Linked DNA regions of Mus musculus. The protein of the gene in region 6 interacts with the protein of the main gene of each other region in a biochemical or structural test. Links are inferred from orthologs where the notes say so. Each region holds a gene or a part of one and is shown on either strand. Other genes may lie near its edges.

Region 1 (4,764 bases), on a different chromosome or scaffold from region 6:
ATGAGCGACAGAAGGAGTGCAAATGCTCTGTTGATGACATCAGGGATACTTAGAGAGCTTGGAGCAAGACATCAGCAAGAATGGAAAGTAAAGTTCAGAGCCAGTAGTCAGGGAAGGCTTCCTGGAGGTGGAAGCAAAGCTCAAAGATGGGAGAAGCCTGTGCAGTGGTATGGAAAGGCAGGTACTCCCCACCCCCACCCCACCCCACCCCCGAGATGGGGCAACAGAGGCCTGCCCCATACTTCTGCCAAGGCTTCAGGGCTTGCTTGGCAGGGTGGGGGGTGGGCAAGTCCCCTGACAGTTGAGCAACGCTGGTCACTTAAATTTGGAAATGAGGTGGTATTTCCGCTAAGCCGTGTGCCAACTCTTACCATTTCCCATCAACCCTGGGGACTCTGAGGCAATAACTTCCTCCTCTAGCTGAAGAATCGAGCCCTTCTTACCCACGCCTGGCTTTCTAGGTACCTTGTTCCAATATGGCACCTCTTCCTCTCTGCCTCCACCTGTTCCGCTACAGCTGCCTCTTCCCTGAAACTCTTCAAGGGAGCTCCGGCAGACTGCCACCTTCTTTAAGGACAGTCCCTCTGTCCTCCCCACCCTCCTTTCCGTCTTCACCAGAGGAGCTTGCTTTCAGCATCCCCTCCCTCAAATCCCCCTCAGAGCCCTTGGGAGTGATTGGCCTCCAGAGCCCAGGGTTCTAGTGTTGAGCCTAGCACTGCCACCACCCAGCTCAGCACCGCTAGGTCTTTACACACATCAGAACAACCCTTGCTTCCCCCCCACCCCACCCCACCCCCGGACCGCAGCCCCTCTCCCTGCTTCTTCTCACAAGCAGCTCCTGACATTCCATTGGGGATCTAGCAGAGAGAATGGAAGCCATTGTTTGGTCTGGGCACTAGCAACACCATCCAGCAAGGATCCTGGTACTTACCACTAACCCCTTTACAAAAGCAAATGCTTTGTTCACAGGTCTGATGACAGAATTGAATGGACCCACAGCATAAATAGGGCCCAGCATCAAGTGCCACACAGTGCAAGCTTCTCAGTACCCCTGGCTTTACCTTCCCCTGAGTCTTACATTTTTCAGAAAGCATTAGATCTGTGCTAGCACAAAACTCCTATTTCTTTCTGCCCTCTGCTTCCACCAAACCTTCCTTGGTGAGTCTTGATTCTCCTTGGTAGCGTTAAGCCTCTTTTCTCTCACTTCTACCCTTCACCTGCAGGCTGAGACAATAGATTTCTGGACGAGGCAGACCCCTCCCCCCCCCCACACACACACACACACTTCTCTCTTCTGCATGCATGCTCCAGGACATCAGTGTAAACTCAGTGAAACCAGACTCAGAACTGGTCTCCAGTTCCTCCCTCCAGGGGAGGTCAGGAACTTGGCAGTCTACAGCTCCACCTAGTGGGCCCCTGCAGCAATAGCAACACAGAGCTGGCGACTCCCCAGGGATTGATGAACTAATAAATTTTGGTGAAGACAAAGGTCTCACCCTACAGGGCTATGCTGGGTTTCCATAGAATACGTTGGGCCGGGGTGGGAGTGGGGTGGGGCTGGAGTCTTGCCCAGTGTAGCAGCAGTAGCTGTCCTTTCTCTGTTCCTCTTGACTCTGTTCCTAGGCATGACATTGGCTGAGGTCTTCAGCGAGGAGGGAGAGTGGGGGAGGGGGTATTGCTGCTCAGTGTCCTGGAGGGAAGACTGCCCACTGGAAAGGTGTGTAGTGTCACAGTTGTACCCCAGGTAAGCCAGCACAGCTTTGTATATCAGCCGCATCAACTGGGAGGCGTCACATTTGATCTCCAGTAGTGAAAGCACTTGGAGGGAGACAGACAAGCCAGACCCACCCTCATGAGCAACCCTGGTGATGCTGCTTCCCTGGCTACCTGTTTTGCCAGGTCTGATCTGCCTGATCAGGGTGGGTGGCACGGGGCCTCTGGGGCCGCACTGGGGAGGAGAAAGAACCCTGTAGTCCCTTCCTGCCCTATTGCACAGAAGGGTCAGCACCTTCTGTCTACCCACACTTGTGACTTGCCATGTCATTTCTGGACACTGGTACCCCAGCCTCAGCCACTGATGCCTTGTGGGCTCTGTCTGGGCCAGGAGACAACAAGAGGAAAACAACAACCAGAAGGATGAAATCGGAAACTTCCCCTCTTTCCCGTTTGCATGGTCTGTCCCTAAGCTTTCTGAACCTTCGAGCCCAAGGAAGTTTCCAGAACAGGTATCAAAGTTATTTTCCAGGAAAAGAAGTAGTCACAGTTCCCAAAAGACTCTGGTGTCCTGTTTTAGATGATTTCAAACACCAGAAGGACACATTGCATACTTCAAGAATCCAGAGCTTTCAGCCATGAGTCCACCGTAGGAAAGACACAACCTCCAAGCCAGTGGTTCTCAACCTGTGGGTCACGTCCCCTTTGGGGGCTTGTCAAATGACCTTTTCACGGGGGTCACCTAAGACCATCTGCATATCCGATGTTTACATTATGATTCATAGCTATAGTAAAGATTACAGTTATGAAGTAGCAACAAAAAGTAATTTTATGGTTGGGAGTCACCACCACATGAGGAACTATATAAAGGATTAGGATTAGGGAGGTTGACCACCACTCCAGGCAATAGCTGCCTGACTCCTGCAAACCTGGCCCTCCAAGTTCCCAAGAAAAGTGAACTAAAGGCAAGTCAGGGCCCCACGTTCTCCTTCAGCCAACCCAGTTCACTCACATCCAAAGCCGTGTGGAACTTGACTATCGGCGCCTGCCAGGCCGTGATCTTCTGTCTGTATAGATTGCACTTAGGAACAATTTTACAGCTGATGTTCCCCATCTCCATGTAGAAAACTTCTAGGTTCCTACGGAGAGAGGGGCAGTCACGTCATGTCAGGGTTTCAGCGAATCCCGGGGTTCACAAGGCTACTGCAGTCCAGCACCACTGAGCATGCAGAGTTGAGAGGAGTTAAATTCTAAACCTGACAACCAACCAGCTGTGTGACCCCAGAGCTGTGGGACTGAGACCCGATGCTTTTGTCCCAGGGTCTACTTGCCTGAGACAGGGACAGTGTCTACCTCATGTGGTTGGTGTGAGGACACAGCACTGGTCAGTGGGTAGAGCAAAGCCTAGCATGCTATGAGTTGTCATCCTTAGTATGCCAAAGATCGACTCACTCTCAGATGTGTGAATCCCTCAAGAAAGTGGTATGATGTCTGCATTCACACACACACACACACACACACACACACACACACACACACACACACACACATGTCTTTCTGTGTAGTCAGCTCATTTCTGTAGTGTTTATGATGCATACAGCAAAATTGCTGTGTGGTAGTACCCTTTAGGAAGTGTAAACAAAGAGCTGTACTTGCCCAATACTGAAGCAATGTGTGTGTGCAAGTGTATGCATATATATAGTGTGTGTGTATATGTGCAATTGTATGCACATACATAAATATATACACATATACAAGTACACATATACTATGTGTGTACTTGGGTGTATATCTACATATGTGTCTATACATGTGTATATGTGTTTATGTGTATGCATGTGTATGTGCATACATATCCCTATGTATGCATGTGTATATGCATATACACATGTGTGGTACCCAGAGTCTTGTACATACTGGGAAAGCACTCTATCACTGAGCTACACTCCCATATTCTCTGCCATTTTTTTTTTCCTTTTTTCTTTTTGAGACAGGGACTTCCTATACAGCCCAGGCTGCTCTTGGTCTCTTGTGTTCATATACCTGCTGATATAGGAAGCTGTGTGGGTTGAGCTGTGCAATTGTGACAGTGTACCTTCTAAGTGTTTGGCTTACGAAACGTGTGAGTGGGCCTGATTCAGAGGTGGTCCCTTGGCCCAAACATTTCCAACTCAGGACTGGCTGAACCCACAGATGTGGAACCTGCCAATGGAGTAGAAAATTGACTGAATTGGGCCTATGAGGACACCGTGCCTGAGCTTGTCAGAATATTCTTATTACACAGAGACCAGGGCTTGTGTTTCCCAGCCTTTCCCGGTACCCCAACACAGCTGAGCTAGCCCCTAAATAGACAATGGCTATTTACACCACCATGCCCTGCTGGCGTTATACCTGAAGGACACCCAGGGAGAATGTAATTTGAGGATCATATCTTCAGGAGTGTTCCTGTAGGAGTTGAGAGGAGGCCAAGGGTAGCCTCCTAGCGAGACCCACATGGCCTTTTTCCAGCCCCTGCTCCTCAGTGCTTTCAGTAGCTCCAGGATCAAATTTGGAGAGAGGCAGTTGGGTCCAGAGCAGCTGGTAAACCACACATGGTGTGCTTTGGTGGGTGGGCACCCCCACCACCTAGACTTGGTCTCTGTCCTTCCAGAGAGTGGAAGGAGCAGTATGAATTGTCCAAATCAACACTGCAGGAGTATTAGTTGTTTCTCTTAACTTTTTGCACGTGTGCAACACTCTTTTGGGGTGACAAAGTTTGGGCAGTTTCGAAGACATCTTTGGGAATAGATTTTTCTTTCTTTTTTTATTTTGTTTGTTTGTTTTGTTTTGGGGGTTTTTTGTTTGTTTGTTTGTTTTGTTTTGTTTGGGTTTTTTTGGTTTTGAAACCGGGTTTCTCTGTGTAGTCCTGGCTGTCTTGGAATTCACTCTGTAGACCAGGCTAGCCTCAAACTCACAGAGATAAGCTTGCCTCTGCCCACTGAGTTCTGGGATTAAAGGCATGCGCCACCACCACCAGGCAGGGATGGGTTTTCTTTTTCATTTCTATGCACA
Region 2 (5,426 bases), on a different chromosome or scaffold from region 6:
TGAAAAGTAAATCAAATGTTTATGAATTCCATCACCACCTGCCACACACACACACACACCCCACACACTGGCCCAGGGAGTGTCTGTCTCTGCCTAGCATGGGATGGGAGGGAAGCAAAGAGGACACACGTTCAGCTACCTTCCCTCCCCATGGCTGTTTGCCCTGGTCGTCTTCATTCACAGCAGCTCTCCTTCATGGAGCTGGGGTACACCTCTGCTCCTCCCAGCAGCAGGCCCTGCTTCTACTGCGCTCCCTAAAGCTGTTTGCAAAGCTGTCAGTGTCCCTCCCCCACTTCAAACCTCAGGCTTGCCCTTCCTCCTATGAGTGTCCCCACCTTTCCTTCCAGTCTCTCATCCCAGACCCTGTCACTTTGTCCTAGCATGATGCCAGCCAATTGTCACCTCCTTCCTGTTGAAGCACCGAGTAGATGTAATACTCAAGGCAGCTCCTCTTTTGGGGGCTAGACCAGCACACCCCTCAACCACAAGACAGAAGCCAGGTTCCTCAGTTCCATGTTGCTGGGACAGCTCTAAAGAGGGGGCTTCTAGCCTGGGGTTGTCTGGACAAGGCCGGGCCCTTCACTCTGCAGACTGGAGTACTGTGACGAAGCAGTGCGGGACCCCAGCCAGGCCCCACCTGTGGACGTGCACCAGCCGCCTGCCTTCCTCCACAAGCTGCTGCAGCTAAGTGGGGTCTGCCTATACTTTGAGGAGCTGCCCTCCCAGGCAGACCCACCACAGCCACCTCTGCAGATCGCAGCTGCACGTGGAGCTCATGGTGAGGCTGAAGCAGAACAAGGCCTTCCCAGGCCCCAAGGTGAGTCCCAGCCATGGGGAACTTGATCCGTGGGGCTGGAAAGACAGCTCAGGGGTTCAGAGCACTGGCTGTTCTTTCAGAGGTCCTGAGTTCAATTCCCAGCAACCACATGGTGGCTCACAACCCTGTATAATGGAATCTGATGCCCTCTTCTGGTGTGTCTGAAGACAGCCACAATGTTCTCACATTAAGTAAACAAGTTAATTAATTAACTAATTAATTAACTTTTTTAAAAAAGGAAAGAAAAAGAAATCTGGAGATATGCCCAGCAGTGGTGGTGTACATCTTTAATCCCAGCACTTGAGAGGCAGAGGCGGATCTCTTGAGTTTGAGGCCATCCTGGTTGAGCACAGTAATCCAGGACAGCTAAGGCTATACAGAGAAACCCTGTCCTGAAAAACCAAAAATTAATAATAATAAAAACTAATAAAAAAGGAATAAGAAAGCTGAAGGTTAAAAGAAGGGATGGGGGGAGGGGACTGGAAAAATGGCTCAGTGGTTCAGAGCATTTATTGCTCTTGCACAGGATGTGAGTTCAGTTCCCAGCAACCACCTGTAACTCCAGCTTTTTTTTTTTTTTTTAAAGATTTATTTATATGTAAGTACACTTTAGCTGTCTTCAGACACTCCAGAAGAGGGAGTCAGATCTCGTTACGGATGGTTGTGAGCCATGTGGTTGCTGGGATTTGAACTCTGGACCTTCGGAAGAACAGTCGGGTGCTCTTACCCACTGAGCCATCTCACCAGCCCCCTGTAACCCCAGCTCTAGGGGATCCAACACCCTCTTCTGGACTCCAAGCCTGCACTTGCACATGTGCATTTTACACGGGCATACATATACAAATAATTTAAAAAAGGAAGTGGAGTGCCAGGCATGGTGACCTGTGATCCTAGTACTTGGTAGGTAGAGGCTGGAGGATCAGGAGTTCAAGGCTAGTCTCAGCTGTATAGAAGTTTGAGACAGTCCAGGGATACATGAGGGGGTAGGGATAAGTTAAGTTCTATGGAGCCAGTGACAAACCTGGTTGAGCTCAGATTTCTCTGGCTATACAGGGTCAGCAATGGGAAGTGGGGAGTATAACCAGTATCTCCAAGGCCTCTCCTTCCATCTTGGCACTCACTCACACTTTCCAGCTTCACACGGCTCTTGTTTGTCACTTAGGGTCACCTGCCTGTCCCATCTGGGCAAGAATAGTCGGGCTGAAGGCGAGCCATAGAGTAAGAAAGAACCTACTGAGCTGGGCGGCGGTGGTGCACGCCTTTGATCCCAGCACTTGGGAGGCAGAGACATGAGGATTTCTGAGTTCAAGGCCAGCCTGGTAGTAAATGCTCTGAACCACTGAGCCATTTTTCCAGTCCCCTCCCCCATCCCTTCTTTTAACCTTCAGCTTTCTTCTTCCTTTTTTATTAGTTTTTATTATTATTATTTATTTATTGGTTTTTCTGTAGGAGTGAGTTCCAAGATAGCCAGAGCTACACAGAGAAACCCTGTCTTGAAAAACCAAAAAATAATCATTTTAAAAAAAGAAAGAAAGAAAGAAAGAAAGAAAGAACGAACGAACGAACGGACCTACTGGCCACTTCTTGGGCTGGAGAGATGGCTCAGTGGTTAAGAGCACTGACTCCTCTTCCAGAGGTACTGAGTTCAATTCCCAGCAACCACATGGTGGCTCACAACCATCTGTAATGGGATCTGATGCCCTCTTCTGAAGACAGCTACAGTGTACTCACATACAATAAATAAATGAATAAATAAATAAATAAAGAGAAAAGTCACTTCTTTGGGGCTCTGCTTACCTCCCACTGATCTTGGGGACATAATAAGGGGGTCTGTTTTCAGCATTCAGTGAGTCAGCTTAATCATTAAGGGCATACCATACATCTCTGTGAATTAGCCCAGTGATGGTTTGTAGAAGAAGCAATCTGATGAAAGGAGCTATCTGGGGCTTCCCAAGAATCTTTAGGAAGTATGGCTGCAACAGCAACGTAAGGGGCACCTGAGAGTCAGGGGGCATGGGACAGGCAGATAATGGTAGTGAGGAACCTACCTCCATGATGACTGTTGGTGGCTGCCCGTCCCTGCTGATGAATGTTGCTCCCCAGGAGACCTGGGGCCAGGTAGGGACCTGGCTGGTCCTCAGTGAGGCTAGGGCCCAGGCCCCTATCTGTAGCACTAGCGTCTTCCTGCTCACTCGGCTCAAACTCTGGGATCTGGAACATACTCTGGGCTGTAGAGACAAGGTAAGAAGTACTCACTACACAGCTAGGCAAACAGTGTTTATGAGAAGCAGAGGAGAGGTACTCCTGTCTCCCTCTCCCACCACGGTAGCTCAACTCCCCAAATCTTCCCAATCCCTCATTTGTCTGCTCAGTCTGCCTGGCTGTCGCCCGAATATTAAATCTCTCTTCAGAGCTCTGTCCAGACACTAGTGCGCTCCCCCTGCCCGTTAGGACCGGGAATAGGTCTCACCCCAAGCCCGATCTCGAGGCCCCTGACCCGGGCCTGCCTCCTCCCTCCAGTTCTAAGGGCGCCCGGCCCTAGTTTCCTGGGCGACGAGAACTGTCACAGATCTGACCCAATCAGTTTTCGAAGTAAATCCCGGGTCGGCCTGGAGGCGGGGCCACCCCAAGCCAGGTCCCACCCCTGCGCCGACCTGCTGGTCTCCACCGCCTTCCTCCCGCGTCGCTCCCCAGGCTCCGGATTCCGGGATCGGACTTCCTCAAGCCTAGGGCGTGTGCAGGAGCCAGCGAGGGCTGCTTTGGGGTTCCCATTTGGATCCTGGAGGCCTGCTTCGGCTGATAAGTCCTCCAGCCCTTCTGGGCCCGAATTCCCTCCTGTAAAATGGGGTTAATGACACCTCCCTGGGGAGCTGGTGAAAACTCTGTAAACAGCTTAGTGATTACTTATAGAGCCGTTCACTGAAGCTCGGCCGTCGGATGCAATGGTCGTTGCGATGGTTATTGCTCCCCCTGGACCGAGTGACCGGGATGGGAAGACCAGCTCCTTCTTCCCGATCGTGGAGGCCTTGCACTGCCCGTCTTGGGGACAACCCCCCGCGCCATTTCGGGAGCTCCTTTACGGCAGGATGGCCGCCCGGGTGCGGAAGAAGGGACGGGGCGCCCAGGAAGGCGAGCCGTGGGGCTCCAGGGGCCTCTGCTGCCAGGATAGGTGTGCGTACGCTGCCCCGGGCCGGAGCGCGGGGCCTGCAGACAGAAGCTAGGGGGCGGGGTCCGGGTACCATCTTGGTTGTGGGCGGAAGTTTCCTTCAGTGACCCTGTGCGGGGAAGTCGTTGCCGCCCCCCATATGGGCACGCCGAACGCGATGTGGATTTGGGAATCTAAGCGTGGGAAATGGTAGTCCCCAAACATTAAGAGCTGGCGGTCCATGGCACTGGTAGCCCAGGTGCTTGCTGCGTGCGGCCTGCTCTACTCTCGGCCGCCCGCCGCCATCCGTAACCCGGGACACCCGCCGGCAGCGCACCTTGCGGCGATTCTCGAAGAGATGCACGCCGGGCGCGGCGCATGGCTTCGGAGTCCCTGCCGGTCGCTACGCAGTTTACGTAGCGAACGGACGTCCGCGCAGGCGCAGGAGTGGGGCGGAGCAGAGGGAGCCGGGGAGCTGGAGCCCGGTGTCCCGGCGACCGGATCCCGCTTACCCCGCAGCGGCCTGAGACCTGACATCGACTTCCTCTTATTCACCGGGGCTGAGGGTGGACGCGGTGGGGGAACACGTCTGGAATCTTGAGGACAGAGGAAGAAGCCTCCCAATCCGGATTATTGGAGGGGAAAGAGGAACCAAGCTTGGGGAGGGGGAGAGCGGGGCGTTGGGCGCCCCCGCAGCGGCCGCTGTCCTAAGCTGACGGGCATCGGCCGGCTCTCCCCCTCCTGCCAGCCGGACACGAGCAACCAAGGCCAGGGACTCTGTGCCACTGCATCCTCGCATCTTGGCTCTGGGGCTGGCCCAGGGAGGGACACCCCCAACCCCCATTTCATTTGCCCTGGGTAGGAAAGACCACTTTATACACTCCAGAGTGACGGGTCTAGGGCCCAGGGCCCAGGTTACCCGTGCCCACCCCCACCCCCACCCCCACGCCCGACTCTGCTGAGAAGGAAAGGCCTGACAACCTCAACTTCTTTTTTCCAGAGTTTCCAGGTCTCACCACCTATTGCAGGTCCCACCCCTCCGTATTTATTTCCCTGGCTTCTGGCCAGCCCTCTATCTCTGTCTCCGGGTTTCAGGCCTCCCTCCTTGACATGGAGAGTAACCTGTCTGGTCTGGTGCCTGCAGCTGGGCTGGTACCTGCACTGCCGCCTACAGTGACCCTGGGGCTGACCGCTGCCTACACTGCCCTATATGCTCTGCTCTTCTTCTCTGTCTATGCCCAGCTCTGGCTGGTGCTTCTGTATGGGCACAAGCGCCTCAGCTATCAGACAGTATTCCTGGCGCTCTGTCTGCTCTGGGCAGCCTTGCGTACCACACTTTTCTCCTTCTACTTCCGAGATACTCCCAGGGCCAACCGCCTGGGGCCCTTGCCTTTTTGGCTTCTCTATTGCTGCCCTGTCTGCCTGCAGTTCTTCACACTGACGCTTATGAACCTCTACTTTGTG
Region 3 (5,340 bases), on a different chromosome or scaffold from region 6:
CTCCATTTTCTAGACAGGCAGGTGGCTAGTAAGCCCCAGTTCTCCAGTCTGTCCCCACCACCACACTGTCTTGTACAACTTCACATGGGTTCTGGGGACTGGAACTCAGGTCCTCACAGTTAAACAGAAAGTACCCTACTCACTAAGCTATCATCCTATCCCTCACCACATTTCTCAAACAAATTATGTTAGAAAAGGACAGATAATTGATTGGTTCAGAATCCAATGTGATTATGTTCTACGGGGACAGATAATTGAATGGGTCAGAATCCATTGTGATTATATTCTACGGGGAACAGTCAATCACGTCAGGTACCAACCTTTCCCTAGGAAGAATCCAACAGCATCAGCTGTGTTCTGACAAGGTCTAACTCATCTACTCTTTTTCGAGACAGGGTTTCTCTGTGTAGCCCTGGCTGTCCTCGAACTCAGAAATCCACTTGCCTCTGCCTCCCAAGTGCTGGGATTAAAGGTGTGCACCACCATGCCCGGCTGACTCATCTACTCTTGCTGAACTGCCACTCACCAAACCACAACCATTTCATTTTATAAACTTCCACATCCCTGTGATCTCGTCCCTCTTAGCAATACAAGGAATACACACAACAAATAAGCTTTTGGAAAGATGATCTAATGACAAACTAGATTACCAACACTCTGGAAGATATTCCAGAGAGACTACCAGACGCAAGACAGTTTACTTTTTTGACAGTTTTGACTGGAGGAGTCCTCACTAAGGACTCAGCTGTAGTAACAACAACGCACCATGAGGAAACTGCTACATATGGCCACCACCAAAATTAACAAAAAGGACCTCCATAAAAGCCAGACTGAATTACAGGTGACATGTCCATAAAACTTCCCTACTGCAAGTATCAGGAAAATACTGCAGAAGGAAATTTTACTGACTTGAAAGCCTAATAATGAAAAAAAAAATTACATTTCAGTTTTTGCTGAAGGCAAACTTAAAAGTCTGTGGCATCATCAAGTAACAATGCCCAGCAGTCTAGTCAGAACAGAAAACAGCATTTACGCAAGAAAACAGTAAAAAAGGACATGGCTGCCAATCCCCACCACACCACATCTAGAAACAGTGAAATTTCTATAGTCTGCCACCACACACATCTCTAAGTTCTAATAAGTGGTCAATTCCCAGAAGAGTGGCTAGTACATGCTGAAAAGACCAACTACTCCTCTACAAAGAATCCAGAAACTAGAAAATATGTCCTTCATATGAAAGCAAACTAAAGTTAAATGCAACATTAGCAATAATGTAGTATCTTACTTTAGGCATTACACTTGAAAACAAGTATAGAGAATACAGGCTGCAACACACCAAGGGCATTGCATACAGGTCTACAATCCTGTGTTCCTCCCCGGGCTAGCACTACACTTACAACCAGCAGCCCAGAGTGAATGTTTGTGAGAAGGATAGGAGTAGCCAGACACATCTATCCTGGCTCTAGTGGGGCTTTCCCAGGAAAACCAGTCTAGGCTATACAGTGAGTCGAGGACTACCCGGGTTACATAAGACCTTGCCTAAAAAAATCAGGATGGTTTTCTATTGACAGAAGTTCTTAGCAAAGGAGACATAACACTACACTTATTTAAACCCATTGCCATTTCAAAAATTACAATAAAATCCAGACTGGTAGAATATTCTCTTGCATTGAAAACAGGTAACCCTGATACTTGTGACTTATTTATGCCTTGCATTCAAGATTACTATCTTCAATTAGTTATCTGATTAGAGGGTACTCAATCAACAGCCAAGTTACATCATGGTCTCATTCTCCAAATTTGGAGGGAATTCAGAAAACAGTATGGTGACTCAGACAACCAACACTGGTTACATCAGGAGTTCTATCTTGGTGTGAATGGATTCACCGTAATTTTGTGCCTGTTAACTCTAGGGTTGCAATTGTTAAAGCAGTCACCTACTCTTTCCTACTATGAACACCTCAGCACTGCACTATGCACGTGTCACCTTTCCACTCTAGGCACTCCCATCTGTCACACTGTCTCCGATCTTCCATTCCCTTCCTAAGGAGTTTCTCCAGTTCTTGAGGAGAGAAGGTGAAAAGTAAGCAGGCCCTGACTGATCTTGGTCAAAGAGCACAGAGCCGGGCACCAGCAGTGGAAAGCAGGGTGAGAACGCAGAATGAACCGCCTAGCAGGAGCCCATCCAGTGGGGAAGGTGTTCTACTGCCAGACTCTCCACTCCTCAGTGGTCCCTGTCAAACGCACATTTTCTGGAGACAGTTACATCTTTCAAACAGCACTAAAGATGAACGTGACAGTCCCCTGTTCCGGTCGGTCAAAAACAATAAAGCCTCACCCTGCAGCGTGGTTAAGTTCAAATGTCCTGTATCACACGATGGACTGAATACTACTGTCTGGACACCGCGTTCCCTCCCCACCCCACCCAGGACCACCTCTATTCGGCAAAAAGGTGATTACTAGGAACAACTTTAAATGTATGTCAATCGCTTGGTGGTGGTGTTAGGAAAACAAACGGGCTTTTGAATTACTTTAACAGCCTGGTTCCAAGTGCCTGGCCTTGTTTCTCCTCAAAGGGGAAAAGAAAAATAGGACACATTAGAGACGTCTTTCTCCTCTTCCCTGTGCTGGCTGCCAGATGCTACCTAGCTGGCCTGTGAGGGGTCCAGTCTAGGTTTCTTGGAGGCGGAAAACTTGGTAGCCAAACGTCTTGAAGTTTCCCTGTTTTCTTTAAAAGGCTTAACTTCTTTGCAGATGGAAAGGTCACAAGGAGAGGTTTCCTTTGTTGAAATGCCCGGGGCTTGTGGGATTGGGGAAACGGGTGGGGACAGACCGTGCTTAGAGAAGGCGGGACAGATGCGGGGATCCGACTAGGCTGCTCCGGGCCGCAAGACTCCCGGGCAGTGGCCCGCGGCTCCTACGCCGAGGGAAGGACGCGGCCGCCTCGGCCTGCCGCCCCGCCACCTGTCCGCCGCGCCTGGGGACAGGGGAAGGCGCCGCCGCCTCCACTCAAAATGGAGGTTATGAAACGCGCGCCGCCCGCCCGCCCGCCACATGGCCGCGCCGCCACAAACTTCGCAGGCGCGTCCGCGTCCTGGGGCTCAGCCCCGACATCGCCCGGGCCGCCACTCACCCACAGACCGGTAGCCCAGGATGGCGATCTTCCGGGACTTGGACTGAGGCATCTTGGTGGCCTGCTCAGCCCCGACCCAACCACATTAACCGCGGCGGCGGCGGCTCCTCCGGCTCAGACTATCGGCGGCGGCTGCGCCGGGAGAACGCGGCATACAGAGCACGGCGGCGGGCGCGGCTGCCTCTCGCTCGCTCGCTCGCTCGCTCCTTCTCTAGCTCGCTCAACCGCCCGGAACCGAACGCGCGGGCCCTCCCCCAACAACACACCCACGTGACCGCGCGCGGCCCCGTCTGCGCCGCCTCCCGCCGCCGCCTCCCAGCCCGGAACGCGCGGGGGAGCGTCGGGGAAACGTTTTACTTTAAAGGGAAAAAGCGGAGACGCCCCAAAGCCCCCGGAAAAGTCACGACCGAAACTCGCTGCGTCATGACCCTCCCACCTACTTCCGCCGCTTTTTAATTACGACAATCCTGCCCGAGCTCTGACTGGACGGCTCCCAGACTGCCGCGCGATGACGCAATGGAAACTCCGTCTTCTATTGGGGATTGGAAGGGTGGAGCCAAGGAGAGGTGCCGCTCAGCGGGGAGCTAAAAATAAATTCTGTCTGCTTTTGCTCGGCGGGGCGCCTGCGTGGTCCAAAAGCGTGGCCCTACCGGCGGGTGGGCGGGCGGGCAGGCAACTCCTCAGTGATTGGCTAATGTGGGTGCGGGGGCGGAACCAGAGGCGTGAAGCACGGTGATTGGTGAAGTGCTGAGCCGTTGGCCGACTTGCGCCTGCCGGCCCTTAAAAGGAGCGAGGCGCGTGGCCCTAGCTGACGGACTGTAGGTTGGCTGACACCTCGCTTCGCACTTGTCTATACTTCAAATTACCGTCCTGCTATGTTAGCTTTAGTCTGGGCTTAACGTGGGTGGTGACTAAGCTTTATTCGTGGCTGAGGAACTGTGGGAAGAATGAAATCTGTGCAGCTCGCAAATGTCAGAAATTCCATTAAAAGCAGCGCGAGCTGACCAGTCCTGGTGCCGACTCGGGCAACACGCCGGGTGGCACGCACCTCGCACAGACAGGCGCGCGCGTGGGAGTCCTGCAGCCAGATCAGTGCGTCTTTTCATACTGAACACTCGAGAGGTTATTTCTGGAGAAACGTGAAAGTCAGCCATTGTCAAAAACGCCGAGGAAAAGGAGGAGGCTTAGCTGTCTGGTGTGGGCGGGCCATGCCTGAAAAGGGAAGGCTGTCATATTTTCTACAACAGTCGTACAGGCAGAAAGCTCTTGTTTCCAGAGAACTAGAGGAGTTGAGATATCCTCATATTGAAGAACAGGGTGGAAAGCTAGACCCTAGGCCTAGTTCATCGAAGTCCAAACTAAAGGCTAGGCCTGGAAATAAAGGTGCCAAGAGAGAACAGCACACTTGTCCTTAATTTTTTGCCCTTCACAATAGACTTATTTTTATAGGGTCTCACGTAGTCCAGGCTGGCCTGGAATTCTTAGAGATCCACCTGTCACTGCCTCCGAGGTGCTGGGATTAAGTGCTGTTCTGCTACCTTGATCTTTCAATTCTCTTTTCTCTGTCCAAATGCTAGGATTACCGACTTCCAAACCATGTTTATTCGGTGCTTGGGATTGGACCCAAGATGAACTCAAGTTCTCAGAGAACTGAGCCATAACTGCCTTCCCCTTTGAACTATCTTAAGTATTTTAAAACAGACTCAGGTTAAACGTATATTCAGCAGATGCCCCAATCCACCAGTGTTCTTGAGCTCGTAGCACTTTAGTCCGTGGTAATGTAGCTAGCATAAGGTTACCTTGCAGTGGGGTGGGAGGTTCAGCAAGTTGCATCAACCAGTAAAACCACTTGCTACACAAACCTCACAACCTGACTTTGATCAGTGTATACCAAAGTGGAAAAAGAACTGACTCGTGGTTGTTCTTTGGCCTCTATATCCGTTCTAGTTTATGAACACATCTGCACACTATTACTGCTGCTGCTGCTGCTGCTGCTGCTACTACTACTACTATTACTACTACTACTACTAAATAGAACAGGATACAAACAACATGCTATGCATAATTGAAATCTATATTCCTGTTGGGTGTCTTTGTATCGTGTTCTGATATCTACTCAAAAATATCCCTCTTTGAGTTCTTTCAAAAAGTTTAACAATATTGCTTTAGGCTAGGAATATTAGTAATCAGAGAAGTAGTTATAAAGT
Region 4 (4,764 bases), on a different chromosome or scaffold from region 6:
GCACAGTACCTGGCATACAAGGAGCGTTCAGGAAGAGTGTTGCCGTCATCGCTATCCTGTTAAAGAGTAGAATTCAGCTGGAGGGTGACATTTCCATTTAAAAGAATTTAGTCATGAGCCAAGCCTGGGGAAGATAGAGGCAGCTGGATCAGGAATTCAGGATCGTCCTCCCATTACATAGTAAGCTTGTGGGCACCCTGTGCTATTTGAGACTCTGCCTCTCTGGAAAAACAAATGTCATGCTGCTGGGTGTGGTAGCACATTATCTGTGATCTCAACATTTAGGAAGCTGTGGGATAGAATTCTGTCTGTCTTCTCATTCTGGATGCCTTCGTGGTGTTCACTTGAACCTGGTTACACTGTACTTTTTTAAAGATGTATTTATCCTATTTGGGGTATACTGGGATGCTGCCTGTGTTGGTATGAGTGCACCGTGTGCTTGCCTGATGCCCCGGGAGGCCATAGAAGGACAGGATATGCTTGAACTGAAGTTACAAAACATTGCAAGCCACTGTGTGGGTGCCGGAAGCTGAACCCAGGTCCTGTGGAAGAGCAGTGAGTTTCCTCTGGTCCTTGCTACATTCTAATCTAGCTGCTGGGGTTGGGGTCAGCACCGGGCTGAGGCTGAGGCTGACACTTGGATTAGCTCCATTCTCTGAGCATGAGTCCTCAGGAGTCTCACTAGGATGCTCGCTTGGCCTTCCTTCTCCCTGGGCTGGGCTTTATGGATAGGAATCCTGTTGTCTAACCCTTTGACTTGCTTTCCAAGAAGCACAAGAGGTTGGCTCAGTTGTTTTAGGTGAGCAATTACTGACCTCGTTTTATTCTTTATGTTAGAGCAATCCAGAAGAAGAGGTTGAGTTAAAGAAGCTGAAAGATTTGGAGGTATCTGCAGAGAAGATAGCTAACCACCTGCAAGAATTGAATAAAGAGCTTTCTGGCATCCAGCAGGTGACTTCTCTATTCTGTGGATAGAGTGGTATGGTATTGTTGCCTGGTTGGCTTTTTAAAAAATAATTTATTTCATTTTTAAATTATATATTAATTATGTGTGAGTCTGCCTGGGTCTGTGTTGGAGTAGGTGGATGTGAGTGCTGGTGGCCAGGAAGACACCCCCCACACCCCCCAGAGCTGGGGTGATGTGAGGTGGTGAGCCTCTAGATGCTGGGAGCAGAACGCAGGTCGGCTAGTAGAACAGTACACCTTCTTAATCTCCGAGCCATCTCTCCAGTCCTGTTTTGTGTTGTAATTATAAAATTAGTTTGTGATGCTTACACAAAAGTTTTATATGTGCGTATAGATAGATTCAAGCCGAGGCCTTTCACGTCCTAAGCTCAGCTCTGCTCTCACTGTGCTGCTTTTGTTGTTGTTGTTGTTTTGTTTGTTTGTTCGTTTTTTTGGTTTTTGTTTGTTTGGTTTTTGTTTTTTTGTTTTTTTGGTTTTTCAAGACAGGGTTTCTCTGTGTAGCCCTGGCTGTCCTGGAACTCACTCTGTAGACCAGGCTGGCCTTGAACTCAGAAATCCGCCTGCCTCTGCCTCCCAAGTGCTGGGATTAAAGGCGTGCACCACCACGCCCGGCTCTTACTGTGCTTCTTGTGTGCAGGTCTGTATGTCTGACCCAGAGATGCTATTACTCTGAAAAGTATTTTTCACCTTATTTAGTTAAAATATAATATGCTATACATTTGGTAAATTGTTCTTTTACTGGCTAAAAATTAACATTTTCCTGTGTTGTTGAAAATGGTCATATTTTCCTGCATGTGAATATATCATGGTTTACCTACCTTAGTCTCTGTTCTCTGTTTTACCTGATTTTTTTCTCTTACTGTGCTGCTGCTTTGAGTGCCCTTAGACAGGAGTCCTTTTTGAGTAGTTGTGATTGTCTTTGATAGAACTGAGTTTGGATTTCTGAGTAATGTTCGAACTTCTTGCTGTGTGTTTACAAATATGCCTTTGTCACTCTGGTTTGATAGCCATCTTCAGAAATTCCTGCTTTTCAACTCAGCCACCCGCTAACTGATCACTAGGCAAAGAAATGCAAATGAACAGCAGGGTGGTTTAATGACAGTAAGTGCTACCTCAACCAGGTGTGGGCTTGTACACCGTAATCACAGCTTTTCTCAGAGCAAGAGACGGGATCAGTTTAAGGGCAGCATTGACTATGCAGTGAGTTAGAGATCCTGTCTCAAAACCAAAGCCACAATAATACCGCCATCCTCTGTTATCTTGTGTATCTATCTGTGCCATGAGTTATGTGAGCATCTACACATCTGCCGGTCAGCATCCCATAATCTGAGATCAGTGAGACGTGGCAAGTTTAAGGAACTTGCTTTAAGATCTTAAGCCAAAGTTGGGAATGTAGCTTAGCTGATAAAGTGCTTGCCACACAGCATCAGGACCTGGGTTCAGATTCCCAGCATCCATGCAGAAACTGGGCATGATGGCACACTGTATAATCCCAGTGTGGGGGAGGCAAAGAGAAGAGGGCTGGATCCCAGCTGCTCACTGCCCAAACAGTCTAGCCAAATTGGGCAAGCTCCAGATTCAGTAAAAGACCCTGTCTCAAAAAATAAGGCAGAGTCTTAGTCAGTGAAGAGGCGCCGTGACCACAGCAACTCTTAAAAGAAGAAAGCGTTTATTTGTGGCTGGCTTAAAGTTCAGAGGTTTAATTAGTCCATTATCATCATGGCAGGAAGCATGGTGGCATGCAGGCAGACTTTGTGCTGGAGAGGTAGCTGAGAATTCTTCATTTCAATCCACAGGCAACACTTAGAGAGAGACACTGGGCCTGGCTTGGGCTTTTAAAACCCCAAAGCCCACCCCCAGTGACACATTTCCTCCCACAAGGCCACACCTCCTAATCCTTGTCAAGTAGCACTACTCCCTAGTGACCAAGCATACAAATATATGGGGGCCATTTTTATTCAAACCACCACACAGTGTTTGGCAAAGACACCTCACGCCAACCCTTGATGCACTGTGCCCAGCTTTTCAGTCTGTTCTCTTAATGTCTGCTTCTTATGTGCATGTATGCACCTGTGTTGAAGGCTGCACCATAGTTCCTCAGGGGGCATTCATGCCTCAGTGGACTGTGAGAGAAAGAACAGTCCACACCCTGGTAGTATTCTTAGTCTGGCCAAGGCAAGCATTTCTAATTTTCCCAGGGGATGAAGGTCTGAGATCTAGCCGGGCTTCTTAGATCAGTGGTGAACTCTGGGTTGCTTCACCAGTCTATTGGCATGGTTTTCCATGAGTCTCAAACACTTGCAATAGTGCCTTATTCCTTCTCAGGGTTTTCTGGCTAAGGAATTGCAAGCGGAGGCTCTCTGCAAACTTGATAGGAAAGTAAAAGCAACAATTGAGCAATTCATGAAGATCTTGGAGGAGATTGACACAATGGTAAGTAAACATTCATATAGAGGTACTAGCCTTTTTATTTACTTTTAACGTTTTATTTATTTATATATACAGCGTTCTGCCTGCATGTATGCCTGCAGGCCAGAAGAGAGCACCAGACCCCATTACAGATGGCTGTGAGCCACTATGTGGTTGCTGGGAATTGAACTTAGGACCTCTGGAAGAGCGATCAGTGCTCTTAACCACTGAGCCACCTCTCTAACCCCAGAGGTACTTCTCTTTAGTGGCAGTATTTCAGTCTATTTCGTTCTGTCAGTATTACACTTGTGTTACCTGGGAAAATCTGTTGCTCGGGGATGTCAAACATCTACTGTTATGGGCCAGGTACTGTGTGTCTTAGTTAGCTTTAACTGTCATCTTAACACAGCCTAGAGGCACCTAAGAAATACGTCTCAGCTGAGGGATTACCCAGATGAGCGTGACCTATAGGCACACTGGGGCAAGATGGGTTTGGTAATTGATAGAGTCCATTATGAGCTGCATCTGCCCCAGGCAGGTGGTCCTGGGCTGTATAAGAAAGCCAGCTTGGAGCCAGGGAAATGGTTCAGTGGTTACAAGTACCAGTTGCTCTTCCAGAGAACTTGGATTTGATTCCCAGAATCTACAGTACCTTGCAACCCTCTCTAAGCCGAGTTCCAGGGGATCCAGTGTCCTCTTCAGGCCTCCTCAAGTCCCAGGCAGGCGTGTGGTATAGATATACATGCAGGCAAAACACCCATAAAATAAATAAGCCTTCCGCCGGGTGTGGTGGCACACGCCTTTAATCTCAGCACTCGGGAGGCAGAGGCAGGCTGATTTCTGAGGCCAGCCTGGTCTACAGAGTGAGTTCCAGGACAGCCTGGGCTATACAGAGAAACCCTGTCTCAAAAATCCAAATAAATAAATAAGCCTTAAAATGAAGAAAGCTCAGCGTGAGCCCGAGTGAGCAGCAGTGCTCCTCCAAGGCCTCTGCTTCATGTTTCTGTTCGGGCTTCAGTGATCATGGGCTGTGACCTGCAAGTGTAAGCCAGATAAGCCCCTTCCTCCCCTAATCGATAGTGTTTTATCACAACGACAGGGAAGAAACAGGTAGCATGCTAGGCTCTGGGTGTATATGTGGACTTTCTGATCTGTAGGCATTTACAGCCCACCAGTATGACAAGAGCATGTGTGTGTGTGTGTGTGTGTGTGTGTGTGTGTGTGTGTGTGTGTGCGAGTGCCTTTGTTTTCTTAAGGCTCAAGTGGCTGGTGTTGCAGCTGAGCTAGTTTTTCCTACAGACTTCAACTACACCCAGATCTTGGGAGGCTGTTGACTCACTGACCCAAATTTTCTTTAACTTAAGATAGTAAGGGTGTCAGTGGCCTGAT
Region 5 (5,417 bases), on a different chromosome or scaffold from region 6:
GACACTGCACAAACCACACCTTTAGTAGGCAAATAGGGGCTTCATCCCACCACAAAGAGTGTCTTCATGAATCCTATGGGTTTAAGCTCTGTTGCACAAAGGTACTGTACTCACTGAGACCACAGCCTCATCTGGATACCTCAGCCATTTTTTTTTTATCATTATCAGACCTACCATGAGACCAGGGTCTGAGATGGCCTCTCGGGCTGAGTGACATCCTCCTGTTTGCAAGTCTCTAGGTATGCACAGACTCTGCTCATGCCTGCCAGCCTGACACCCTTCACCTTTCCTAAAAGCCCTGTTTGGTAGCCTTTGTCAATTTCCACAATGTAAACGCTCCCAGCTCCCAGCCTGAAACATGGCCTCCAAAAATGGACGTCAGAGACACACGCATGGGCCAGCTCAGCACACTGTGGACCCCAGGCCTGGCACCGGAACCATCATTCCTGGGCCAAGCCCAGCAGCGTGCCAAGCACACGCTAAGTATAGAACAACAACACTGCTGACATTTGTTTTGCAGCTAATATATATCACGGGGCTCTGAGTGCCAGGCATACATCTGCTCCATCCCTCAGTGACCCAGGGGGCAGACAATGAGGGCACTGAAGCACAGAGTCGCCAAGGTCCCAGGAAGAAGGGCCTGTCCCATGCTGTCTGTCCTGCACTCTGGGGGCCACCTCCCACCATACACATGCTTTTCTATCCAGGTCACTGTGGCTATGTCAGCCGCCCACTGGCAGTTCTTACATGTGGTGGAGTTCCGGTCCTAAAACCCTGATGTCCCCCACTGAACTGACCTGTGAGTCTGTGCTTTGAGGTTGCACTGCTGTGCATACAGAAGGTGCTCAATAACTGATCCCTGACATGAGAGACATTGCAGATACTTCTGCAGGCATCAGGCTCACCCAAACTTCTCACTAGCCTGCTCTCAACCTGCTCTGGCTATGAGGACTTCTCCCTTCACCCAGTCTACCTGTCTGGCTCCTGCTGCTGTGCTGAGAAGAAACCACCGGAGACCTATGGCTTAGTTTCGCCCACCCAGTCCTTCTGCAGGGAGGAGGGCTGCTGAGCCTCTCATTAGATGGAAGACAAGGAGTGAGCCAGCAGACCCCAGGGATGTCTCCTTGTCCCAGCTTCTAGCCAGGCCTCCCAAGACACAATGAATGAAAGGAGAGAGTCAGAGAAACAAGGCAGAGTCAGAGGGCAGCAGGGAATCAGAGAGAGGAGGAAGGGAGAGACAGGAATGAAGGAAGAGAGAAAACAGAAGACTCACGGAGGGAGGGGGTGCGGCATGGAGTTAGAAATAAGAGCCGGAGGATCAGAGAGGGGTGGAGACAGGCGAGGAGAACCTATGGCTTTCTCTGCTGACAGACCTAGTCTTTTCACATGGCTTCAGCCACGTGGGGCAGTGTGAGGCACCCAGATACCTGGAAGCCAGGTGACAGAGCATCTGTGGCTCCACCTCCACAGGAGACTGAGGGAAGCCCTAAAGCCCTGTAGGCAGAGTCTCCCCTGCCACCTGCCCATCTCACTCTGCTCCTCAGCTGGCTAACTCCACAGTGGGCAAAGACAAATCCTAAATGCCAGAGTGGGGTTTGGGGCAGGGGAATGAAAGGGTTGAATAAGCCTGAAGCCTGCAGAAGCATCTGCAATGTCTCTCATGTCAGGGATCAGTTATTGAGTACCTTCTGTATGCACAGCAGTGCAACCCCAAAGCACAGACTCACAGGTATGCATTCAGTGGGGACATCAGGGTTTTAGGACCAGACCTCCACCACATGTAAGAACTGCCAGTGGGCGGCTGACACAGCCACAGTGACCTGGACAGAAAAGCATGTGTATGGTGGGAGGTGGCCCCCCAGAGTGCAGGACAGACAGCATGGGGCAGGCCCTCCTTCCCAGCAGCCAACCTTGGTGGTCTAGAGAGAAGTGGGGAACTGAATGTATGAAGAGGGACCTGGATGTAAGCAGAGTGCTGGAAGGTACCTCAAAGATAGAAGTGGGGCTGTCCCCAGAAATAGTGCCCATCATCCCTAGGCATGTCATGCTGGGGCTGCCTTATTCTTATGAGACGCTCTGCAGGAACAGATGGGGACTCTAGTTCTCAGGAAAGTTGAGTGGCTGCCCGAGTCCAATCTCACCTCTTCAAAACACCACTCCCACCCCTCTAGTGGCTTCAACTAGTCTTCTCCTAATAGCTCTGACTCAGTGGAGCCCCAGTTGGCACTGGACAGGGAATGACTCTGTGATCCATGTTATAGTCCTGTTTCCTCTCTCCCTCTAGGCAGCTGGGGTGGCATCCTGCCCAGGACTCTGCATACCCTGCCAGCAGCTCACAAGCAGTGCAACTGTGGGCCATTCACCCTTGTGTCTGCCCCAGTGCTTGATGGGAGCTGAACAGGTACAGATTGGTCAGGATGAGTTCCTTGGGTGCACCCCAGAGCCAGGTTCACTACACTACCTGCCACACCTGTGTGCACATCCCAAGCCTCTTAGGACTGACACGCTGTAGTCCTGACTCCTCCCCTAGGCTCTGGGGAGTCTCAGGAGCTTTACAAAGCCACCCTTCCCATCCTGGGGATGTCAGGAGGGCAGAGAACAGGGGGCATCTGTTTCTGGATGATCAGCTGTGTCAGCACAGAACCTCTGAGTGATCTGGTTTGTGCACTCAGCTCACCTCTCTGTTAAACGTTGGGTAGAAACAAACGCAACACGGTCAGGTACCCAGAAACCTTTCCAATACAAGACTCTTTTCTTTGGGCAGTCTCTCTGAGTAGTCATGAGCCACCCGGCTGCTCCCAGCCCCGTGGACGACTTGCAGGGACTCTTTTTTGTCCCTCTGAGGCTTAGGAGGAACCTGAATCAGAGAGTCCAAAGCCGGTCGTTGCTCCAGACCCTAGTCTAGCTTCCAGGAGGTCCAGGACAATCCAATACCCTTCCTCATCCTTCGTGGACTGGTGGCAGAGGTGGGCAAGAGAGTGTGGCTCAGAGGCCCCACACACTGGCCACTTGAGTTCAGGAAACCATGGTAGCAAGGAAACATTGCAGGAAATGCTCCAAAGCTCAAGGGACGCTAGGATAGGTTAAAGGACCCCTGATCATTCTTGCTTGAGGTTTTATCTAGGGAGGGTAACTGCCTCTTCCTCTTGAGTCTCAGTTTCCTCCTTTTAAAGTGGACTGTCTCTTGGTCTAAAAGAAAGCTCCCAGGGACAAACGGAGCACACAAGAGCTCAATAAATCCACTTTCCTACGCTATGTAAGGGGCTAAAGACCACCAGAGGTAGTAGGCTAGGCATCTAGTGAGCTTAATGCTCTACGTGTATAAAGCATCTCAGCACGTAGAGGGTACAGTTTAAGTTTCCTTTGTCATAAAATGCCAGCGTCACCGAGCTTGCGTCCCTCTACTGAGCCGGCTGCCCCACTCCACCTAGCTACCTCTCCTGTTCTATTGGGATGTCTCCCTTACCTGAGAACAGCGGGACGGACCCCGAGCACGGCTTGGAGGGCTCCCTGGAAGCTCCTGGAGGTGCGGGGAGCCGCCTGCCGCTCCGACCGCTGAGTCTCCCGGCGTCTGCGGGGGCTCCAGGGTCACTGCGTACGGATCCTCCTGCGCGCGGCGCCCGGAGCTGGGCTGAGCGCGACAGGGCGAGGAGGCCCGCGGATCAGGGGATGATGACCCATGGGTGGGCTCCGAGGGCTCGGCGGGGCTGGGGCGCTGGGCTGGCTCCGGCTCGCCGCCGGCGGCCCTGCCCTGCCCCGACAGGGGGGACTCCGGTTGAGCCAGGTGCTCGAAGGTTTGGGGACGTCCAGTACGGGGTGCCCCCGCCTGGAGCTCCGCGCTGAAGGGGAAGGGGCACGACTCCGGGGATATAGAAGCGAACCCCGGAGACTCAGGAGGACTTTTGGGGGTGACGATCGGCCTACGAACCCGCCTGGCAGCTTACGTTACCTCCTTCTCTGGACGCAAAGCGGGTGGCCGCGTGCAGGGTAGAGGGGTTTGTGCGCCGGGCCGTCCTTCCCGGCTGCCCTCAGTCGGGCAGCCGACCCTCGCGGAAAGGACCGCCGCTTGCTCCTCGCCCGACGCCGCTAGCTGCGCTCAGCGCGCAAGTGGGAGGGGGCCTCGAACGCCGCCCCGAAGCTCAGCAGCTCCAACTTCGCCTGAAGCCCACGTCGCTCCGCACTGTGCCTCCTCTCCCCAAGCGAGGAGAAGTTTCTTAGGGTGGGTTCCTCCCTCGTGCTCTCCCGGTGGCTCAAGCTCGGGCTCCAGATGCGCAACCTACGCCTACCTCGGGCCCTGGCGCGCGCTACGTCCCGAGCCCACCTGCCCAGCGCCGCCGCCTGGGCTCTGCCGCCTGCACCCCGCCCCCGCCATGAGCAGCCAATCAGCGGCGGGTCCCGCGGCCAGGTCCCGCCTCCGCCCCACCCCAGTCTAGGAGCCGCGGCAATCTGCGGCTACGCGTGCCCGGGCGCGTGGGGCTGGGGCCGCGGGGGAGGAGGGCTATCCCGAGGCTTCGGCCACGCGCACCGTGACCGGAAGACCGTAAGGCACGGGCCTGGGAGGCTGACACTGAGCACGCACTCGCCCGCAAGCCAGCCCAAACTGTGGGAACCCGCTCCTGACCTCCCAACCTCGCCCTGAGCGAACCTCCACCCCCTCCGATGCCCACCTACGTTCGCCGGGAGCCCGGTCCAGGCCGCGGCTTCCATTGCGAACGCTTGGCCTGCGGAGCACATGGGCGGCACACGTGCAGCCACGAGGGGCCCTGAATCACCTTGGGTAATGGAAGCAGCTCAGAGTGAACTCTATGGAGAGACCTCCTCTGGCTTGGTGGGACCTAGTCTTCCCGTCCCTGACAGAGCCAGAGCGTGCTATCCTAGGGAGCGCTTTGAACCAAGCCAGACATCAGGCGTTCTTGCTTCCACGGGCCACATATTTCTTAATGTTTTCTTTAATCCAAGACCCGCTACCCCCAACACATTTTTCAGTCTCATTAATGTCATTGCCTTACATGGGAAGCCTGTGTCCCAGGCCATAAATAGAAGGTTAGTATAAAACAAGCCCGAAAACAAAGCAAGGCCTCTGAACTGCAGCTGGAGCCTGCCTTTATCCAGGGAGATGTGCGGGCGAGGCTTGGAAGGGGTGGAAGTTCTTTCGCCCAAAGCAGACATTTTTCTACGGACTCCTTTAGGTGGACCAGAAAGAAGTAGGTGCTGTGTTCCCTTCAATTCCTGGTCCTGCGCATAGGGAATGTCTCCTTTGTGGGACAGCCTTCTCTGGGAGCTGTGTGTGTCATAGGCAGGAAAGCCTGGGTGAGAGCTCTGTGCTCCAGTTCTGTCGCTCACCACCCAAATGTTCCTCCCTGGACCAGTTGTGGAAGTCTCTGGTCCATGCTTGGGTTATTTTTGAATGAGCATCA
Region 6 (4,548 bases):
TTTGGAAGCAAGTGCCTTTACCGTCATGCTTACCCTGATGGGCGGCTGGCAGAGCCAGAGAAACCTCGGAAGCAGCTAAGCTCTGAAGGCACTGTGAGGGTAAGTAGTGGGCATTCCTGGGTGCTTACTGCCCAGGCTCCTAGTAGCTTTGGCAGCAGAACAGGAGTCAGCATAAGCAAAATACAAGCTGGCACTCATCGTCTGCTGCTATCTCCATTGACCCAGGGGTGCTTGTTGGCTGTTTTTGCAGTTCTTTAACTCAGTTCGGCTTTGGGATTTTATCGAGAACCGAGAAACCCGGCAAGTCCCCAGCACTGACGATGTGGATGTGACAGAGCTAGGAGACCTCTTCATGCACCTTTCTGGAGTAGAATCATCAGAACCCTAGTCAGTGCTGACGCCTTCATTTGGCTCTGCAGTCAACTTTCCAAGGCACGGTGTGGACGCATCTGTCACCGACCCGAGGTGACGTGGTACTGGGATGTGAGTGCAGTAGTGAGTCCCCCTGGGAAGGGAAGGGAGATCACCACGTCCACAGAATCACTACATTTAGAGTTGAGCTCTCAGTTGTACCTCCAACCCCTTTCTCCGGGACCAGCTATGTGGTCCAGCTGTTTTAATTGAGTGCTTTTAAATGAAACCTGACTGCCATCTTTCTTTTGTGACTTTCTTCCTTAAGCAACAGTAAACTTGCAGCAGATCTGGTTTTTTTTTTTTTTCCTTGCCAAGACATCGCCAGCCCTGTAGAAGGCTCCTCTGCAGTGATCATCTCTAATAGAGTTGTCGAGCCTTGGAATTGATGCAGCTGTGTAGTGAGAACACATTTGGCCATATTGGTGCTGCTGTACCATAGTGTAGACTTTTACAGCTGTGAGGGTGGCTATTGAGTTCCTTCCAGTGTCTCAAGTCACAGGTGTGTGCAGTTGTGAAGATCTCCAGGGAGACTCCATCTTACCCTCCCCTTGTACTAAGAGCACAAGACACAGGACTCACAGATTGCTTGTTCTCCCCTATAAAGTAGTAGGCTCCACACTTGTTTTTGTGGTAAACAGGAGCAGTCACTCCTCTGTCTAAGAACTGGGGGCAAGAAAGAGCAAATTTGTCCTGAACCTGAATTTATTTTTATAAGAAAACCTGTTATTACCTGTGTGCTTTTCACTTGGTTGTTCATGAACTGCAGAGGGGGCTCCTTGAGTTCTGTCTGCACAAGAAACTGCACTGCAAGTTTTGAAGGAGTCAGTAGCCATTAAACCTAAATTTAATTTATTTTATTAAAATAACATAAGGAACCAACTGTATTGGCTCAATAAAAACAAAATTAAAACCCAAAATCATTAAGAAAACCTGTATTCCTGGCTTTCTTACAGACAAGGATGTGGCTACAGATAGGGTTGGGCCGCGGCCCACCCCATAGGGGCAGCTCCTGGAAGACAGATTCAGCACGTGGGAGGCTGCCAAAGGTGGAGCACCGCGCTTGGAAAGCCATCCACACAGGACACCTTAGACACAGTTTGTCCACAAAGTTCTGTAGTACCAAAGCAGGCTCCCCCAGGTGGCCAGGACTCCATGTGCAAAACTGGCACTGCACCACTGTCCATATAGGCTCAAGGAGCCAAGTTCCCAATTGCATGTCCCTGCAGCAGCCGGAGTGCCCTACCTTCTCCAAGGCCACTTGCCCTACAAATACTCAGCTGACTTGTATACCTCTGGAGCTGAGCAGGCTTTCTTGGTGGACAGCTTCCATTTCCAGGGCAGGAGGGGTAGAAAAGAAGGCAATATGAAGTTAAGGCCCTGTGAGTAGTCTAGGTCCTTAGCAGCAGCAGCTTTTCCAAAAACATGCATTCTGCCCCCAAGGAAACAGAAAGTGGTGCCTGCTGACTCTTCTTCGTCCCCTGGTGGCCTAAGAACAGCTACATCATCAGCTAGAAGACTGGTAGCCTTGGGGATGTAGTCAGCGTGCAAGCATTGATGTCCTCAGTGTGAGCTGCCCGATGCAGGGAAGGCTCAGAGGCGCTCCTGTTGATTTTCGGCAGAGAGTGCTGAAGCAGCTCGATGGAAGACAGGATCTGAAACAAGGCCCCACGTGGTCTCATTAGTTGGAAACTTGGTATCTCCCCAACCATACCAAGAGCTTGTGGAGGTCCTCTCTCCACCGACCCAATCCTGGCCCACATTTACATCCTTAGAATGTTATATTTCAACTGAGCTCTCTAACCTGGGGAAACAAAGGTCTCTCTTCTTTGACTTTCTTCACACAGTCAGCCACCAACCTCTTCATTGCCTTGGGGCAGTTCTTGTAGAGCCTGCTGAGATCAGGGGATGCATACCCACGGCCTACCATGAAGATGATCTAAAGAAGAAACAGTTGAACAAAGGAGTCTGTGAAGGAGAGTCCCAGGACTAAGTAGCCCCTCACTGTGTCGCCCGGCCATGCAGATCACCTGGTCTCGGTTGTTGATGTGGGCGTAGGGAAGCTCCCCAGCCATCAGCTCGTACAGCACGATGCCGTACGAGTACACGTCGGACTGGAAGCTGAACGGGTTGTCATCCTGCATCCGGATTACTTCTGGGGCCTGTAAGGATGAAGTGTGTTAATCCCTAGGGAATGACCTCCAGAGACATTGAGGAACCAGGCTATTTTAACTAGTCAGGAAGGAAGTTCAAGTCCTTAGCCCAGGGTAGCTCCTCCCACAAAACCCCACAGGCGCTGGCCTCTGTTGCTTTGCCAGGATATGCGGTTTTGCCTTAAGCTAACTGACACCACAGATCAACCAGACCCCCATGGCTGTGCAGAAATGCTGTCAAATTTTGCACCCTACTCTGGCCCAGTAATTCCATCATGTTGTGTGGGGCCAGCTTCCTCACCATCCACAGCACAGAGCCAGTGGGCTGTTCAACCTGCTGAGAACCACTCCAGCGTGACTTCACTGTTGCCAAACCAAAATCTCCAATTTTCACCGTGAGGCCTTCATGGAGAAATATATCTCGATGCTTGTTAAGGAGACTGACAGTTTATACTGTTTATAACAGTGCTTCTGGCCTCCTTCACTTCACTACTAAATCTTTCAGGAGACAGGGAACGATGGCATGCGCACACTCAATTACAGGGCCCCACACTGCTTATCCCCTCTGCCTACATTTGGTACTCAGGTTTACCACCCAACTGGTCTACATTGTGACTTCTGTCAGCTTACTGCTAGGTAACAGGCAATTTTGGTCTGATTTGTGACCTGCTGATTTATTGGAATTCAAGCCTTAAATCTTGGCCCAGTGCTTAGCTGCCGAAAAAGAATGACCTCAAGAAAGGAGGTCATGGCCACCGAATAAGCATAGCTCATTGGCCATGCAGAACAGCTGAGTTTAACCACCCTGCCATGTGCCATCTTACAGCATGAAAGGTGCAGTTGGTAAGGAGATGCTATTTCTAACAGTGGCCTCTAGGCTGACTTCTGTACATTTAACAGAAAGTAGCCATTTTGAAATTTCTGGAATTCTGGGATACTGGTTCTAAGATGCTAATTCCAGGAGACCTTAAGAAATATTGTGTCCTTTGAGTTAAAAATAGGAGGTCAGGTGATTAGTGGAATTTTGGTTGAAGTCTGACTCACAATAGTTACAGTGGGCCTTCAAACTGTTTCCCCTGGGAAAAGCTAAATGGAAGCCTTTAGCAGGGTCTCTGCCAGGGATGGGAACCAAAAGTGTCACATCCCTGGCAGAATTGCAGCAATCAGTGCTACCATCAAAGACTTGAAAGATGCAGGGGTGGTGATTCATGGCCAGTACAGAAGACAGATGGACTGTAAAAAGTGACAGGCTATACCAGATGTGGTGTCCTTACTTGAGCAATTAGCATACTTCCTGATATACGATGTGTAGCTACTGACCTAGCAAATGCCTTTTTCTTTGGTATCTGTCCATAAGGACCACCAGAAGCAATTGCTTTTGATTAGAAAGATCAACAGTAAACCTTTAACTCTCCAGCCTTGTGTCATAACTTAGTTTGAAGGGATCTTGTTCATGTCTCTTCTACAAAATATCACATTGGTCTACTATATGGCTGACATTATGCTGGTCTGAAAAGTGAGCAGGAGGCAGCAATCACTTATGACTTGTTGGTATTAGATACATGCATCAGATACTTTCCCATCTGTATGCAGGCTTACACCTTCCATAGGCTCAATAGAAATAGATGCAATAACCTTCTCAAGCTATATTCTGGATAATCTAACCAGGCTGAGTTCAAGTCTATTTCAAGTGTGTATCGCCTCAGAAGGAATTATTTCCAGATCACTGTTGGTTAAAAAAAATAATAATAAAACCTTAAGGAACTCTCATGATCACCATGTTTGGCTTCTCAACTATATTTCTATTTTCCTTTAAAAGTCCCCTTCTCCCCATTCTGGCACCATGAACCATGTGTGCAAAAAGGCCCTTTTGGGTCCTTAAGCTGAGAACTCAATACCAAAGGATACTGTTGGATTTCATGTCTCTGTGGATGATGTTCTTTGCATGCAAATAGCTGTGAAGGAGAAAAATCACTCAGTTAAC

Evidence for each region.
Region 1: the proteins of Raf1 (region 6) and Pebp4 form a complex in vitro, tested with the Homo sapiens proteins (2 studies listed by BioGRID). The link is inferred for Mus musculus from reciprocal best matches to the Homo sapiens genes RAF1 and PEBP4.
Region 2: of the proteins of Raf1 (region 6) and Bad, one has a biochemical effect on the other in vitro, tested with the Homo sapiens proteins (2 studies listed by BioGRID). The link is inferred for Mus musculus from reciprocal best matches to the Homo sapiens genes RAF1 and BAD.
Region 3: the proteins of Raf1 (region 6) and Rheb form a complex in vitro, tested with the Homo sapiens proteins (3 studies listed by BioGRID and IntAct). The link is inferred for Mus musculus from reciprocal best matches to the Homo sapiens genes RAF1 and RHEB.
Region 4: the proteins of Raf1 (region 6) and Bag1 form a complex in vitro, tested with the Homo sapiens proteins (2 studies listed by BioGRID). The link is inferred for Mus musculus from reciprocal best matches to the Homo sapiens genes RAF1 and BAG1.
Region 5: the proteins of Raf1 (region 6) and Rasd2 form a complex in vitro, tested with the Homo sapiens proteins (2 studies listed by BioGRID). The link is inferred for Mus musculus from reciprocal best matches to the Homo sapiens genes RAF1 and RASD2.

What each region holds. Positions count from the first base shown.
Region 1 is NC_000080.6:69,849,716-69,854,479, reverse strand, and holds part of Pebp4 (phosphatidylethanolamine-binding protein 4 isoform a precursor), read right to left. Parts: intron 2,853-4,764; coding exon 2,726-2,852; coding exon of another isoform or gene 2,684-2,725; exon of another isoform or gene 2,520-2,683; intron 1-2,519. UniProt on the Homo sapiens protein: Promotes AKT phosphorylation, suggesting a possible role in the PI3K-AKT signaling pathway.
Region 2 is NC_000085.6:6,940,486-6,945,911, reverse strand, and holds the start of Bad (bcl2-associated agonist of cell death), read right to left. Parts: upstream 3,351-5,426; 5' UTR 3,288-3,350; intron 3,046-3,287; coding exon of another isoform or gene 3,038-3,045; coding exon 2,866-3,037; intron 1-2,865. Other genes in the region: integral membrane protein GPR137, read left to right, coding at 4,204-4,473, 4,698-4,820. UniProt on the Homo sapiens protein: Promotes cell death. Successfully competes for the binding to Bcl-X(L), Bcl-2 and Bcl-W, thereby affecting the level of heterodimerization of these proteins with BAX. Can reverse the death repressor activity of Bcl-X(L), but not that of Bcl-2.
Region 3 is NC_000071.6:24,839,052-24,844,391, forward strand, and holds the start of Rheb (GTP-binding protein Rheb), read right to left. Parts: upstream 3,311-5,340; 5' UTR 3,186-3,310; coding exon 3,134-3,185; intron 1-3,133. UniProt on the Homo sapiens protein: Small GTPase that acts as an allosteric activator of the canonical mTORC1 complex, an evolutionarily conserved central nutrient sensor that stimulates anabolic reactions and macromolecule biosynthesis to promote cellular biomass generation and growth.
Region 4 is NC_000070.6:40,937,712-40,942,475, reverse strand, and holds part of Bag1 (BAG family molecular chaperone regulator 1), read left to right. Parts: intron 1-837; coding exon 838-951; intron 952-3,291; coding exon 3,292-3,399; intron 3,400-4,764. UniProt on the Homo sapiens protein: Co-chaperone for HSP70 and HSC70 chaperone proteins. Acts as a nucleotide-exchange factor (NEF) promoting the release of ADP from the HSP70 and HSC70 proteins thereby triggering client/substrate protein release.
Region 5 is NC_000074.6:75,212,128-75,217,544, reverse strand, and holds the start of Rasd2 (GTP-binding protein Rhes), read right to left. Parts: upstream 3,602-5,417; 5' UTR 3,467-3,601; intron 1-3,466. UniProt on the Homo sapiens protein: GTPase signaling protein that binds to and hydrolyzes GTP. Regulates signaling pathways involving G-proteins-coupled receptor and heterotrimeric proteins such as GNB1, GNB2 and GNB3.
Region 6 is NC_000072.6:115,617,344-115,621,891, forward strand, and holds the end of Raf1 (RAF proto-oncogene serine/threonine-protein kinase), read right to left. Parts: intron 4,520-4,548; coding exon 4,473-4,519; intron 4,341-4,472; exon of another isoform or gene 2,985-4,340; coding exon 2,866-2,984; exon of another isoform or gene 2,574-2,865; coding exon 2,442-2,573; exon of another isoform or gene 2,351-2,441; coding exon 2,216-2,350; exon of another isoform or gene 2,067-2,215; coding exon 1,923-2,066; 3' UTR 1,226-1,922; downstream 1-1,225. Other genes in the region: Mkrn2 (probable E3 ubiquitin-protein ligase makorin-2), read left to right, coding at 1-99, 251-388. UniProt on the Homo sapiens protein: Serine/threonine-protein kinase that acts as a regulatory link between the membrane-associated Ras GTPases and the MAPK/ERK cascade, and this critical regulatory link functions as a switch determining cell fate decisions including proliferation, differentiation, apoptosis, survival and oncogenic transformation.